Styela clava: one gene and its partner. The protein of the gene in region 1 purifies or fractionates together with the protein of each later gene. This does not show direct contact. Links are inferred from orthologs where the notes say so. Each region holds a gene or a part of one and is shown in the gene's direction. Other genes may lie near its edges.

What was found. The genes of interacting proteins can lie anywhere in the genome.
Region 2: the proteins of nucleolin-like (region 1) and putative rRNA-processing protein EBP2 purify together in Homo sapiens (affinity purification with mass spectrometry; 3 studies listed by BioGRID and IntAct, with this or other methods). This does not show direct contact. The link is inferred for Styela clava from reciprocal best matches to the Homo sapiens genes NCL and EBNA1BP2.

The regions. Positions count from the first base shown.
Region 1 is NC_135256.1:11,322,739-11,330,752, reverse strand, and holds the start of nucleolin-like, read left to right. Parts: upstream 1-5,007; 5' UTR 5,008-5,152; coding exon 5,153-5,173; intron 5,174-5,483; coding exon 5,484-5,600; intron 5,601-6,610; coding exon 6,611-6,727; intron 6,728-7,309; coding exon 7,310-7,411; intron 7,412-7,741; coding exon 7,742-7,846; intron 7,847-8,014. Other genes in the region: uncharacterized protein LOC144425124, read left to right, coding at 666-683, 3,538-3,688, 4,499-4,632. UniProt on the Homo sapiens protein: Nucleolin is the major nucleolar protein of growing eukaryotic cells. It is found associated with intranucleolar chromatin and pre-ribosomal particles. It induces chromatin decondensation by binding to histone H1.
Region 2 is NC_135259.1:3,406,633-3,414,597, reverse strand, and holds the start of putative rRNA-processing protein EBP2, read left to right. Parts: upstream 1-4,943; 5' UTR 4,944-5,032; coding exon 5,033-5,137; intron 5,138-5,320; coding exon 5,321-5,404; intron 5,405-5,508; coding exon 5,509-5,596; intron 5,597-6,273; coding exon 6,274-6,503; intron 6,504-6,728; coding exon 6,729-6,894; intron 6,895-7,580; coding exon 7,581-7,668; intron 7,669-7,965. UniProt on the Homo sapiens protein: Required for the processing of the 27S pre-rRNA.

The DNA.
Region 1 (8,014 bases):
CGAGAGGGCTGCATAATATTGTGTTTGGATCCACTTCTGTTTTTACTGCGTTAGGTGTGATGTGTTTTGATCCACTTCTGTTTTACTGCGTTAAGTGTGATGTGTTTTGATTCACTCCTGATTTACTGTGTTAAGAGTTGAGTGTGTCTCAATTTTATCTGTTTTCGGAATTTGGATTGTGCATCTTCCTATAATATACAACAACGATTAGCATCAACACTGTGTGCTTATTATCGTCTGAAGGAGTCCAGATTGGAGTCACATTCCATAACGCGTGTCAAAACAATAACGCGGGAATAGAACTTAAATATATAGGGTGATAGTCAATATCTCATCATCAGCATCTCATCTCTTTCTCCCTTTACTACAGGTTCGGTACCGGTACTGGTAGCTCAGTACGTAAGTACGATACTGGTACTGGTGCCGGTACCGGTGTCTTACCACAAGGAAATTACCGTAACTTATTCTTTCACGGTCCTACCAGTGCAGTAATGCAAGCGTTGTAGCACTTGTAGCCTACTATATTTGTTTATTTTGATGAGAGTCTACTGGAAACAACATAAAATTTGAAAGGGAAGAATTGTTCTGTGATCAATTATCTGTCCTAAAGTGTAAACAACATAAAATTTGCAAGGGAACAACTGTTCTGTGATCAATTACCGTATATGGCCTACAGTGTACAGGTAAGATGCTGGCTGACTGCTAACCGGTACTGGTAGCTCAGTACGTAAGTACGATACTGGTACTGGTGCCGGTACCGGTGTCTTACCACAATGAAATTACCGTAACTTAATCTTTCACGGTCCTACCAGTGCAGTAATGCAAGCGTTGTAGCACTTGTAGCCTACTATATTTGTTTATTTTGATGAGAGTCTACTGGAAACAACATAAAATTTGAAAGGGAAGAATTGTTCTGTGATCAATTATCTGTCCTAAAGTGTAAACAACATAAAATTTGCGAGGGAACTCTGTTCTGTGATCAATTACCGTATATGGCCTACAGTGTACAGGTAAGATGCTGCCTGACTGCTAACTCAGTACCGCTTGACACGTTTTTAAAAAGTCGCTTTTCTCTTCGAATACTGGACCAATTGCTTTGAAATTTTTAGTGGTTAAAGATAAAAATTTTCTCCAGAAGGCTATTACTTTTTTTTTCGCTATGACGTCATCAAATTAATGTGACTCTACGTGTCCATATATTTGAGCATAGCTCTCTTGTTTTCTTTCGTCATTATCATTAAAAAATCGCTTTTCTCTTCGAATACTGGACCAATTGCTTTGAAATTTTCAGTGGTTAAAGATAAAATTTTTCTCCAGAAGGCTATTACTTTTTTTTTCGCTATGACGTCACCAAAATCATTGCCATTGGGTGGCGCTACGTGTCCATATATTTGAGCATAGCTCTCTTGTTTTCTGAACAGAGTTTACCGAAAATAAATAATTTTTTCAGCATTTCAAAGTAAAACCAGGCAGAGATGGAGGAAGAACAGTTGGCCCTTTGCCTTTATTCTTTAAACCTACTTGTTTGCCTATAGAAAAATCAAAAACATTTGATTTGCTGTTACATCAACTCATACTATTATAATTATTTACATTTTTGTTTATCTTTCACTTGTCTTTTTATATACTACTTTGACATCCCTCTGCAAGCAAAAAATTGTTGATCATTATGCTGAAATAATGCTTGTTAGGTCCTATTAACTATTTTTCCCCCTCCTAATCTAGACAAATCAAAGCAGATCATGTTTGTTACATCTTCAATGCGTACCTATGCCATGAAATGAAGCATTTCTGCTAATTCATCACATATGCGTATAAATTATTTAAATTCTTTCAGTAACCTTTGGAATCTCTTCAGATTTTGAAATCCCGCTCCACATAAATAAATAAAAATGATTTACTCTAGCATTCCCCTCCCCAATTTTTTTCTTCTATTTTGAGAATATAATTTAAAATTCTAGAATGTTCCTCCCCAATATTTTAGTCATCTGAAACTGTGGATCTTAAACATAATAGCTTGAAGGGGGGGAGTTGACTTTGATGACCATCCGGTCGTATCACTCCCTCCTGTCTATACCAAACTAATTTATTTCTTATTGTTATTTTTTTTTTTTATTATTATTACGATGACTGTTATTTTTGGTTGACGAAAAAATAAATCTCTCTCTCTCTCTAATGAACTTAACAGTCAACAACCCAGGCCGACGGTTAACGAAAATGCCACTACTTCGCCCTAGTTAGTCCGTATTAGTATTTGTCTACAGTTAGTCTACTTTAGGCCGACAATGACGCGATATAGAACGGTCAGTTGGGCGACAATTTCACGATTCTTAGATCGTCATCGTAATTAAATTAAGATTCCTTTTCCACGGAACACTTCGAAGACGCTCGCGGAACACAGGTTGGGAAACGCTGCTGTACAGTATTACGCAACGACTAACATACCATACCACATAACATGGTATTACGGTACAAATTCACGCTGTATCCAAAGGCACAACCTATCGTCGCTTTCTCGCGAGAAAAGAATAAATACAGAACAAAATTGTTGCTTAATCTTTAGCACTAGTGACTAAACCCTAACACGGAATAAAGTGCTGTACAGATAATGGTAGTACAATCATTGAGGTACGCAATCTGTGTTGCACAAAAATGCTAGCATGTGACATATCTCTGAAAAATAGGATTTCGTGGATGCGCAATATCTGAATGCTCGAGTATTTGTAGCAGGATTCACTGTATTCGAAAATCCCTGATATTTGAGCACTTTTTAACATTTCTCCCTGACGCAAATTTGACCACTAAAATCCCGGACATGCCAGGGAAAAATAGGGCAATTGGCAACCCTAGTACTGTATAGTGTAGCGCAGGGCTACTCAACTATTTCATCGAAGATCTGCATACAATACTTGAAAATTATTTGGGTCCGGTCTTTCCAAAAATTATATTTCGGCATCCTTATTCGCACACTTCCTCGACCGGCTAATGATTATTATCTCATCAAGATTGTTTATTATGGTGTTATAGTTCTTTACATATAATATATATTCAAAACTATAAAAGTCAATTTATAAAAAGAAACTTGAAAAGTGGGGCTAATGATCCAGAATAAATAATTAGGGGCGGTCCGAATCAAATACTCGAAAGGTCCGGATTCGGTCCAGTGAACGCGTGGTTTTGTTTGATTCGTTGTTTTCCGCTAACATTGTTACCGAATATTTGGCATATGCAAAATCAATACCAATTTTTACTTCCATTCATGATTGTTTTTAGTTGACGAATCAATAAATTTATCACTCGAGGATCCGGGAGACCTTGATTTAAGTCCCACTCAATTTCGAAAACTGGTCTAAACTCAACCTATTTATTATTGCTTAATTAATTGTAATTAATGCTATACATTCATTTGATAAGTCACAACAAGAATATTTTTATTGCCTACCATGACTAATATTGCTGAGCTGCGCCTTTTTCGATAACGACCATGAACACGTATATTTAATTTAGTAATATACGGTCTCTTTTTCTGCAATTTAGTGTCTCCGCAGCACTGCCTGCGGGTCTCATGCTGCAAGTCAAGCACGTGGGAGCGCCGTGGCTTTCGGAATTTTTTCGATCGGCTGTTTCGTAACTGCATGCGTGTTTGTCAGAACGCACTTGAAGGAATTTGGGACGACTGCGGATAATGGTATAATAATGTTTTTTACTTAGGCTATGATTGATATAGAAGTAGCAACGGTTATGCGACGTTAACAAAATTGATGAGGAATGCTACCGTAACCTACCTCAGAAAATAAATAAATAATTACGGTAAGCTCGATGTCGGCCATTGCGCGGTCGTTTCTCTGTCAGTCTGTTGTATTTATATGACAACTACAGTGCCCTAGTTTTCATTGTATATTGTTGATAATTAGGCGTATCTGTTGTTTTCTACTTCTGTCATTTGTGGTTTCTTGAATAATCGCATGAGTGTTTGAGAAAGCGTTTTTTTGATTGTTTTATGTATTAAGAAAAATTAAAAGACATGTAACATGTCAGAAAAAAATAAAAGGTTAAATATGGATTAAAAATCATGATTTGCCTCCGGCTGACAGGCATTGAGTGGTTGTAGACTGTAGTACAGTTGGCATGAATCTCAGAATCTAATATAGGCTATCACATAATTCCACAGCATTTGCTTATTTTGTCCGTTGACGTAGATTACTTGAATTTTCGTTTTTATTTTTCCAATTATTTGATGTTGGTCCCATCAACGTAAGTTACGCCCTGGGGTAATTTTTGGGCATCTTCAGTAAAGTCCCATCAACGTAAGTTACGCTCTGGAGTAATTTTTGGGCATCTTCAGTAAATCTGCCTTCATCGGCCATTGATAACGAATTGTTGTTTGTTTTAAATTTTGGCAATTCATCCAAACAATTTCAGGATTGAATGGATGTTTTCCACAATTTTGAGCCAGATATCAATTTTTTTCCACATATTTATCTGCATTTATATACAGGAATTTCAGAAGCGGAGAAAAGTGCTTTTTGTCAATCCTTTTATTTGAGTTTCTATTCTTCACTGCGAAATGATTTTCAGCAATTAGTTTTCAAAAGTGAAAACGAAAAGTACAATGATTGTAAAATGTCGTAAAATTTTGACTTTTAATAACAATATATACATATGAATTTCATATTTCTGTCCTTATTATCTGTTCTTAAAAACGAATGATCATTTATAATAAACACGTTTTTCATCTAATTCAATATCCTATGCTTTTGTTTAACTGTTGTATTAGAGACATTGCCTAGGACTTGCAATCTAGGAATTTATTAATAATAATAAATTTATCTGATTGTATTAGATGTATTAATCTGTTGTGTATTATGGCCAGATGCGCCAATATTTATTGAGTTTATGATGTCTTTCCCTTCAACAGATGATGTACTGATGTTTTTCCGTTCAACCCCACTTAAGAGTTTAAATATGTTATAATTTTTAAGTTGGATGACTCATTCCAATCAATTAAACTTGTCCTTCCGAGAATAAAGGCCTTGAGAATTTTATTTACCTGATCTTATGATTCTGAATTTTAGAAAACTTAACTAACAGTCCAATAACTAAAAGGTACAAAAGCACCTATATTACTTAACATCAGAATTTGTAAATCACAATGGTCCAGATGAAATCCAAAGTGAGTATTCTTCATTGTCTAAGTATTGTATTCTATTTTTCTTAGGATTTTGGAATTATAATTCTATCAATTTTATATAAATCTTGTTCAGTTTGTTTAAAAGTATTTGTTGGGTAAAACTGATGATTCAGATTCATGGCTTGCTATTCCTAAAGATCTAATCACAAACAAGTTTTGAAAGCTCATTAAAAATACTTGTCGTATTTATTTGTCTTAGTATAACATTGTTATTATTTGTCATATATATGTATCATATAGAATCCTCAATTTTTGTTTAACTTTAATTTTTATTATCAAAATCATTTAATAGGGAAAAGACAAGAAAACAAAAAATGCAAAAGCAAAGAAACAGGTAAAACCTGATCCACCACCGAAAGAAGAAAGTAGTGAAGAGGAGGAAAGTGAGGAGGAAGAGGAAGAAGTCAAGGTATAGATTTTCAGAAATATGACAGATTCAGTTTTGTCCAGTATTACTCGTATTTTGATTACTTGCCTCAGGGCTGGAGTCGAGAATGGAAGCATGGAGCTGTGGCATTTTGGTGGAGTTTGAGCCAAGCTCATCATATCAGATGGTGCCGTAGCTACCAGAAATTTTAGTGACTCCACTTCCTCACCATCTGAGTAGTTTTCCAATACTTCATACATATAAACTAAATTTTATGTTCAATTTTATATATTTAAAAGTTTAATTTTGAAATCCTTATGTAATATTTTTAAGTCCCACTGCATTTGGGCTGATGTTTAATGGTAGTGGTAACACCTAAAAGCGTCAATGGGCATTGGGCCGAAGCTGAAGCCCCTGTGATTTCGAACCACCTCCAAAGCCTCTGTGATTTCGAATCACCTCCCAATCCCTGACTTGCCTATTGAGCATTTTTAATAGCGACTCCTTGTTTTTTACTGAGATTATTAAGCCCACTGGCTATACCTTGCTTATAAGCCTTGTTTTGCGTACCACTGCTTTGCTACTAAAAGTATTCAACATCTGGATGTAATATTATACTTGGGAAAATTCCTGTTTTTTCAACACATGATATTCTGGTTCTCCCGTAGTAAGTGTATCAGGTTAGGGTTAGGCCATAATTTAATTCCGATTTTTCTTATTTTTGTTATATTACGTGTTCGGGGACTGTCCGTGTTAGCCAAGTGAATATAACCCCTGCCCATAGGTTTCAGTCCCTTTACACAACTTGATTTAAAGTAGGCGAACAAAATTATTTACCTCCACATTGGTACACACACTTCTGGAGTGCCAATATTCCAAATGCTTATTGACTGCTGGTGAGTCTTATTCAGGATGCAGGTGTGAAACAGATATGAAAAACCTATCTTCCATTTTTTATTTTCATTAGTGTTATTGTCCAAGCCTTACTAAATCTGTGATGTAAGGGTGTTTCATTTCAGCTGGCATAACAATTCAACCATATCAAATTTCAGGTGCAAAAAACACAAAAGAAGAAAACAACAAAAGCGGCAAAGAAACAAGAGGAAGAAGACAGTGATGACGACGACGATGATGATGATGACGATAGTGATGAGGAGGAGGAAGTCAAGGTAATAAATTCGCCAGCAAAAATAAGATTGTTATGTTGTATGACAGGACGAAAATGTGTGATAAATAATACAGTATACATATAAATACTATAGCTATGGTAATGTAGATAATGTTTTGACACATATAATGCCCTTGCCTACACAACAATATTGGTGCTTCTGTAGTATGCGAACCAAGATGGCGGACACCGGAATGTAGTATGTGTACCAGGTTCGGGTTAGGCCATAATTTTATTTCAATTTTCCTTATTTTAGTTTTATTACGAGTTCAGGGACAGCCAAGTGACTCCCGTAGCATTTGTACCTGAAATTATGGCATAACCCTAATCTGGTATACATACTACGTTCCCGTGTCCGCCATCTTTGTACGCATACTGTAGGAGTACCAAAATATTTTGCAAATATTGGAATCTAGTTTGGCAGGTTCAAATACTTATGCTCTGTAAAGTGATATCTTGTGAATGTTCATTGTTGTAGAAAACCAAATTATCAAATGAGAATAAAAACAGTCAAAGTAACTGCTCAAGTACCTTTTAAATACTTATTTAGGTGCCATGATAACCAAAATTTTTTTCAATGCAGAAAGGAACAAACGGCAAAGTAAAAAATGCAGCAAAAGCTGATGACGAAGAGGAAGACAGTGATGATGATGACGACGATGATGATGATGACAGTGAGGAAGAGGTAATGAATGAAAAACTTACATAAAACATATATTTTTCGGATTTCCTCGTGAATTCATGTAACTAGGGCTTGGTCTAGTGCCATTGCAATCTATCGTTATATTAATTGAATCCAAACTGGTTCCATATACTTCAACCTCATTATTCTTTATATGTTGAAACATATATATGCCTATATATATATATATATATTTAAAACTTGAGTTGTCAACTTGAAATCAATTTTTGACCACAAAATTTCCATCATAAGATGGTTTCCGAAAAATTTCAAGGCTAGAAATTCGAAGTTTTTTTTTCGAGTTCGTCATGACGCTTTGATTTTCATCAACAGACGAAGAAAGATAAGAAAGCTGCTGGAGATGCAAAGAAAGAGGAAGAAGAAGACAGCGATGACGATGATGATGATGACGACGACGATGATGAGGAAGACTCTAAGGTTGGAAACTCAATTCTCTTACTCAAATTTGTATCTTAGTATGGATTTAAAATGCTGCGAGGAGATTTAGGTTACCATACCATCACAATGTTTTACAGATGTAAAATTTTTGTGTACTCAGAACATTGGGGATATTCCACAATAAACTCTAAACTTGAATTCGAAAAA
Region 2 (7,965 bases), on another chromosome or scaffold:
TTGTTCTTATTCTTGTTTTTTGACACGTTATGAAAAAGTCGCTTTTCTCTTTCATTACCGGACCAATTTCTTTGAAATTTTCAGTGGTTGAGGATGGAATTTTTCTCCAGAAGGCTATTACTTTTATTTATCTCTAAATTTTGTATGAATTCTATAAAATCTGTTATTTCATACAAAATTTAAGTGTATAATATATTATGGGAACACTGTTTTTAACCTGCCGAGCGTGACGGCGCATTCTGAAAATTCTTGCTACTCAAAACTCGGAAGTTTTATGAGGTTACCGGTGATACTAAAGGTACGGTGAACCGTACCGTACTGCTTCGCTTGGTGTCAATATATTTGTACACTGTGGTATCTGCTGTTATAATACCATGATAAATCGAATAAGTGGGTTTTTTCAATTCATGTTGAAACGAAATCGCCACAGGATCTGCAAATTTCGGTCTGGTCTATCTGTCTCGCAAAGGAGAAGCGACTGACATGACAAGTATACTGGTAAGCATACTTATGTAAGTAAGCTGTCCGTCAGCCCTAAAAGGCTATGACAGTCACTGTACCAAAATTTGTACTCCGATTCAGGTGTTGTTAAATTGACGCATATTATTTTGTAACGTTTTTTATGTGAAATGTTTGACTGTGGTTCGGTACCTATCCGGTAATACATAATTAACTCATATCACGAGATATTTTAATTATTGTTTCAATATAATCAAGAAGATTGGATCATTGTCACAGGACCGAAAAAAAACTATGACTGTTCCTGTACCGTCACGGTATCCCGATACAGGTACTGTTAAGTCACCGCATAGGATTTTTGGGTAATTGTTTTGCGTGTCCATATATTTGAGCATTGATCTTCTGTATTAGTTAAGTTATACTAAGCCGGTGTTAAAAAGTATAAGTAAGTTATTAAACACTTGTATATCCATACCATGAATATAGGACATGAGAAGAGGCCTTGAAAACGACCAGAAAATTAGTTTTGTAGCGCACACCTGGTAATTAAATAAATAAAGTTTTGTATGAAAATGAACATACTGAACGCATTCCAGCTTGCTCCACAATCCTGATGCAAAATTGAACATAAGGGGATTCCCAGATAATCAATGACCATAGGTTTACAGCAACACAGCATAGGAGCTATGCAATTCAAGAACCCTGCTGCACACTAACACAAATGTATTTCTGTAACGTTTTGTCTAACAAAATCAGACTTCCTCAGACAGCAGTTTACAACAAAGAACAGCATAAGAAGTTGCATTTATTTTATAGTTAAGCTATCAAACGTATTCATTTTTAAGCAATAAAGTCACAAATTAACATCGTGAGCACAAAAACACAAATAAATCGGTTATTACTCAGAGAAATCTACCGGAAAAGTCAAGAAAATCAAATGAATACAGTATGTACATAACATAGTGAACATCAATATTACAATTAGTTTTTTTTTTCAGTTTGGTGGTTGTGCATTTGAAACAAAGGCGATATTATTTATAGAAACAGGACCTACGACACTAACAGATATCTGAAGAAAAAAAATAATGAAAAATATTTATTAACTTCAATATCTAATTCACTTTCCTCTGAATTGCTTCCGAAATCCTCATTCTCGAAAATCGACTTTCCTCTATAAATGTACTGTGGTTTTTGCAGTCAATGCAAAAATCTGTGCAATTTAGGTTGTTTTTGGCACACATGAATAAATTATTTTGACATCAATTTTTCTTACCCTTGCAATTTGCCATCTCAAGAATCGATTTGGGGGCTGGAAGTAGATCCATCAATTCTAGGCAACAATGATGAAGTCCTGCCTGGTACTTTGCCCTCAGGACATGCTTCTTCAGTGAATCATTGTTGGGAGGAAAAGTATAATCCATATTTTTGCCAATTTTCAAAAGACTTGGTATCATTTACATTTTTCATATTCTCTTCTTACAGTGAACAAACAAATTACTCATCTTTATGTATTAATGACTCGTCTATCTCATAGGATCTTCATAGTTGAGGAAAACATGAATTGAAAAACTCAATGAAGTTCTCCAACATCAGTTTGATGGGCAGTTTCAATTGCAGAAATGTGCCAAAGTTTTCAATATGAATAGCCCATCTAAGCTGTTTGCAACTGTCATCTTCTCATATACCTTTACGCTTTTCTTCAAGACTTCTTGTTCGGTTCATTTTATTCTTACAGGTATAGCGCTGATAGCAGCCCGGATTAGAGCCTGCGTTAGGTTGGATTGGTGGAACATTGCCGTTTTCGTTTGTTGTACAGTATCTAAAATGAGGAAGAAAATCATATTTGGAACAGCATGTAAAAATACCGCTAAATACTGACTGATACTTTTCATACATAATGCATTTTATCTGATGCACTACAGTCCTGCAGTGTTTGCATACTAGACTACATCTACACTGAATCTCGATATATCACAGTCTGAAATGCCTAATAGACTATATTTTAAAACATCTACTGTCTGTCTACAACTTGATTTCACACCTCTCAATCGCTTCTAATGCTACTTTTCGTTCAACTCCGGCATAACTTATCATTGCTTCCCAGGTTCTTGTCGACTCGAATGAATTTAGACAAACTGACATCAGTAAAATTGATTATTTTCCCGTCCTTCACACAAACGCGCATTACAGAAACAGCGCCTTTTCCGTAAAACGTGCAACTTTCGGAAATGGAAACAAGTCATTATTTGTTACTAACTTTCTAGGGAACTTCCTAAAATCAGTTTCAGGTAGTTCCCTTATGTGCGCTGCGAAACTGAAAGATAAACGGCCTCTTCTCGCTATTAGTTGATAGCGGACTTGCTTTGTGTTTCTAATCAATACTTTTTAAACTCTAAAAAATTATACCAAGTCTTGTAGATCAATTGATATTGATACAGTCCCAATGCCGAGATAAATACTTTCTCTAAATAAACTAATGTTGTCTCATGGATGAATAAATAATGTATGTAGCTTGGAATTTTGTGATTGAAAGTTAAACCTTCTTACCGAGCTTGTCCATTTGTTTATTGAGTGTATACTTCAGTAGTATAAATCACTGCTGATATTATTTTTATATAATGTACTCTTCTTTGACTTTTGAATATGTCTCTCGAGGAAAATTTTTGAGTTGTCGTAGGCTACTCAGTTGGCTGTGAGGCCTAGCCTTGTTTGCAAGAACTTTAGTTATGTGCCATTTACTTTCGCGTACCGGTAGTTATTATCCCGATCGTTGTCCATCGGTAGTTGCTGCACCATTATTTACAGATCTCCGCGAGATGGCGTGCATGATTACAAAATGGCGGCGCCCATATCCCTTTCGTGCTTCTGCAAGAAACAACCGTAGCAGAAGTGGCTAAACTTGATGGATGCGGTATTTGGTTATCATATAACTGTATAACTGTAGTCATATAGCTGTATAATGTCAATTTTATGGGAGTAATGCAGGGATGTGGCAGAGCGTAATGCAAATGAGATCCAGGCTTAGGTTTCCAGCCGACTACCGGTACTGCTGTACTGTACTACAAGTCGGGAGGCGAACAACTGTTAGTTACTGTACACGGACAACTCGACTACAAGAGAGGTCTGGTGAATTGCAGAATTGTCCGTATTTTCGCATTTTCTACGGCGAAGTTTTACAGTTTAAAGACTACCGGTATAGGCAGATAGGAGTGTAATTTCGATCTTTTCAAGGCTCCAACGTCGAGAAAAACACATTAATATTCTCTAGAAGGGATTTGGCTCAGTGTTAACTTTTGCTCATGTCAGCATGTTGTATAAATACAGTCTACAGACGAAACTGGGGCTGTCTGTTGTAACACTAGCGAAGACTGCTGACGTTATAGGACTGTGTGCGTGTAAATTTTTGAATTTTATTGATATTGGATGTTTTGAATGCGTATTTTCAAACATTTAAACCTTTATACATGACTGTAACACATATATATATATTTACGAATGTGAGCTTCGTAGCCTGTACTTGATACATTCCCAGTTGTGCTTCTTGATCTTTTGTAGAAAGCCCCCTTCACTAATGCAAAAAATGTGAGATTTGAGAAAAAAACGCCATGCTTTAAGTAAAAAAATTATCAATTATCCAGTTAGGGTTCGAGTAAGGAATGATTTGCAAATTTGAATTTCCGCGTACGGCACACTATCCAAATTCCAAGAATGTCCAGTCATTTGGTTCAATAAAACAAACACTCCAGGTGTCTCACAAACGAGGGTCGTCTGGCACAACGGCAGATACGTCATATTGCACCATGCTTGTCTTGATAATAATCTAAATGAATCGCAGCCGTCACGTGACCAAAATTGCAGTTTTTTGTTCATAACTCTCAAATGCCACTATAGAAAAAATTTTCCTTTGGTAAATCGCATTATTTTTCCCGAGGAATTCAATGATGACGATTTTAGATTGCACTTTTTTGCGCAACTTCAATTTACTGTAGTTTTACCGATATTGAGGGACAACCATGTTCAGACGTTCCCCGAAGGAGGGTCGTCTAATCATCTGTAAAATGGGTATCCCGAAACGACACAATGTTGCTCGATCTGTATAGTGTGCCGTACGGTTCCCAGCGCAATCTGTATTCCTAACCCTAACTGGATAATTACTAATTTTTTTTTAAAACGTGGTGGGGGATGGTTTTTTTGATGAGTGCTTTTTACTAAAGATCTATAATTCTGTGTCACAGTCAAAGTTGCTTTGCAGACCTCACTTCGTCTTTAGGAACCAATGTTCTGAGCGCTTGGAATACACTCACCAACGCATCTCTGATTACTCTGCATGGGTTTGCGAGTTTGAGTCCTGTGGAAATAACTATGTGTGAGAGAATCAAGTTCATGCATTTGGAACAAATTATTGGCTAACTAATTCCTTACACGACCTGAACCTGACGAGAGGCCGTGGTTCACCATATGATTAAGCCATCTTATCACAACTTATTATACGTTCCGTTTATTATCAGGTTGTTTAAAATAAATCGTGTGATTACTTTTCATCTCTTCAAATTCATATAAATACTGAAATAAGATGTCAGAAGAGGAAAATTATCCATCAAGTGAGGAAGAAAGTGAAGAAGATGAATTGCATCATCCAAGATTGGCAGAAGATGATTCTGATGATTCAGACAGAGAGGTGAATATATCTAATAAGTTTTTTAATTAAAATATGTCGCAAAAGACTGAAATTTATAATTCGATAATTACGATCATATTATTAATTACGATTGTATTATGACAAATAATATGCCATTGTGATGTCGAAATCTGTTGGACTTATATTATAACAATCAAATCCATTTTATATTTACATTTCTAGTTACAAGTTGCCTACAAAAGTGGTTTGCTTAAACCAGGCTTATATTCAGAAGCGAAACCTGAGCGGCCAGCTGTCAATAATGTGGTAAGTTAACGAATTCAGTATTAAATTTTGACATCAGCAATGTTTTCATTTGATTGAAATGACTAAATTTTCCAATAATTCTGGAGTTATTACTTTTATTCTAGGATGGGATTCTGGAGAAATTAGAAGAAATTGAACAGAAAGATATGGATTGGTTAGAGAGGCTTGATATAACAGTAGAAAGAAGATCAAGTATGTGCTTAGCGCTAAACTATTGTATCCTACAAACTTTTTCGAAACTGGGATTCTAGGAATACCCAATTCGTCACTGCTAAAAAGTATTAATTAAAATGTTTTGGCTCTTGCTTTAAGAACTACAGATCTATTGATAATGATAATTTGAAATATTACTACCAAAATGGCAAAAGATAGTCCCAATACAGATGAAATTTCCTATACTCTTCATTGCTTTGCTGCACCTCCACTCATTTATTATTGTACTCATTAACAGTGTTAAGCAATATTGGTGAAGTCAAAATATGGTATATTTATTTGTACCAAGATCAACAATATAACAACAGCTTGTTAAACTTTCTAGTTATGTATTGCCAATATTCATTCCTTGTTGCTCAGTGGTGTGGTGCATCGTTGACCCCTGCACCTCTGATTACCCTACGTGGGTTTTCATTTTTTAATTCTGTGAGGATTAATTATGTGCAAAAGAATTGCTGGACTCCTCACCGCCATAGGGGGTTAGCGTAACTGCTTGGTTGGTTATGGCTTCCTCTGCCATCAAGTCGATGCATCTGAACGAATAACTGATCTCATACAGGACACGGCCGTGGTATGCCATATGATTACGCCGTCTTATCACCATCTCTCATCCCCAGAAATCCAAGATAAATATGTAAATCCTGCATTTATTACAGAAACTGATGAAATGTTTGAAGAGGGATTAAGTGCTGCTGAAGCTCAGGCACAGGCACAAAGCAGACTATTTACTGTTCACAATGACTTTAAACGGGAACTCATGTTTCTAACACAAGCAAAAGATGCTGTATTAAAGGCAATTCCTCTACTGAAAATTGCTAATATTTCCACTGTAAGACCAGAGGATTATTTTGCTGAGATGGCTAAAAAAGATGATCACATGAAAAAGGTACAGCATTGTGATATGTACTTTTTGCTTTTGTGCATTTGACACATGGGAAAAATACTTTTTAAAAAGAAATTTTCATCCCAAAAATATTAGCACACTTACAAGATAATCGTATCTTTTCAGCTTTTTGACATATTTAGACTACTTGACTGTCAAATTAAATTGTGATTGATGGCCTGTTAATAATGTTACCATTTGTCATGTAGTGATATTTTTTACATCCAGGTTCGTCAAAAACTTCTGAGTTTACAACGACGTAAAGAATCTGCAGAAAAATATAGAAATCAACTGAAGTTAAAGAAATATGGAAAGAAAGTGCAGCAAGCTGTTGAACTAGAGCGAAAGAAAAAGAAAAGGGAAATTTTAGACAGTGTGAAAAAATTTCGAAAAGGTTTGAAATAAACAATGTTATAAAAAGGAATATGTGCATATGAATAACCTAATTCCAGCCAGAGTTCTCTTTCAGTATTTGCTCACAAATTTCCATGTTGCTTTTTTAATATTCAATGGCATGGATTATTTTGTTGCATTGCAACAAATTTTAATGAAAAAACTGACTTCTAGGCATTATTCTTAATTTTGTTATCATTGAAAACTTGGAATCACAAGCATATAATTGTAGTCTGGTTCATTCCATTCCCGTTAAGTAGATCAGGACTACTCAACTATTTTCATCGAAGATCCGCATACAAAACTTCAAAATCATTTGGGTCTGGTCTTTCCAGAAATTATATTCGGCATCCTTATTCGCACACTAATGATTATTAGCTAATCAAGATTGTTTATTATGGTGTTATAGTTCTTTACATATATATTCAAAACTATAAAAGTCATTTCATAAAAGGGAACTTCAAAAGTGGGGCTAATGATGCAAAATAAAGAATTAGGTGCGGCTTGAATCAAATACTCGAAAGGTTCGGACTGCGGTCTGCCAGTTGAGTAGCCTTAAAGTGGACTATATTATATTGTAAGGCCCATGTTATGACATGACGCACTAATAACATATTGTCACTTGAGCTTTTTTGAGAAATACTTGTGGCCATCACCCAATGCTTAGCTATATTAAACTATTTTCAGGGAAAACAGACAGCATGGATTTTCTGGATGATGAGAGGGAAGTAAAACCTGGCAAGAAATCTCAACTACAAAAAGTCGAACAACAAAGGTAAGGTATCTAATATCTATATGACATGATAAAGAAGAAGTATAAGTATTTTTATAAATATGAATCCTATTTTTTTCACAAAATTCAGTTTTATTTCACAGGCTGTTTAGGAGGCCATGATTTTCATTCATGATTGTTTTCACGGTAATCTTTGTTACCTGGATGCTAAGTCCAATTGTCATTTTCCTGTGTGAATTCCTCCAGGCTTTGGTATAAATGAAATTGCGGTGCTTGATGTTCAAAATACAGGGTTTGTTGAATTTTGCTTATAAAATTTAAAGATAATGTTGTTTCATT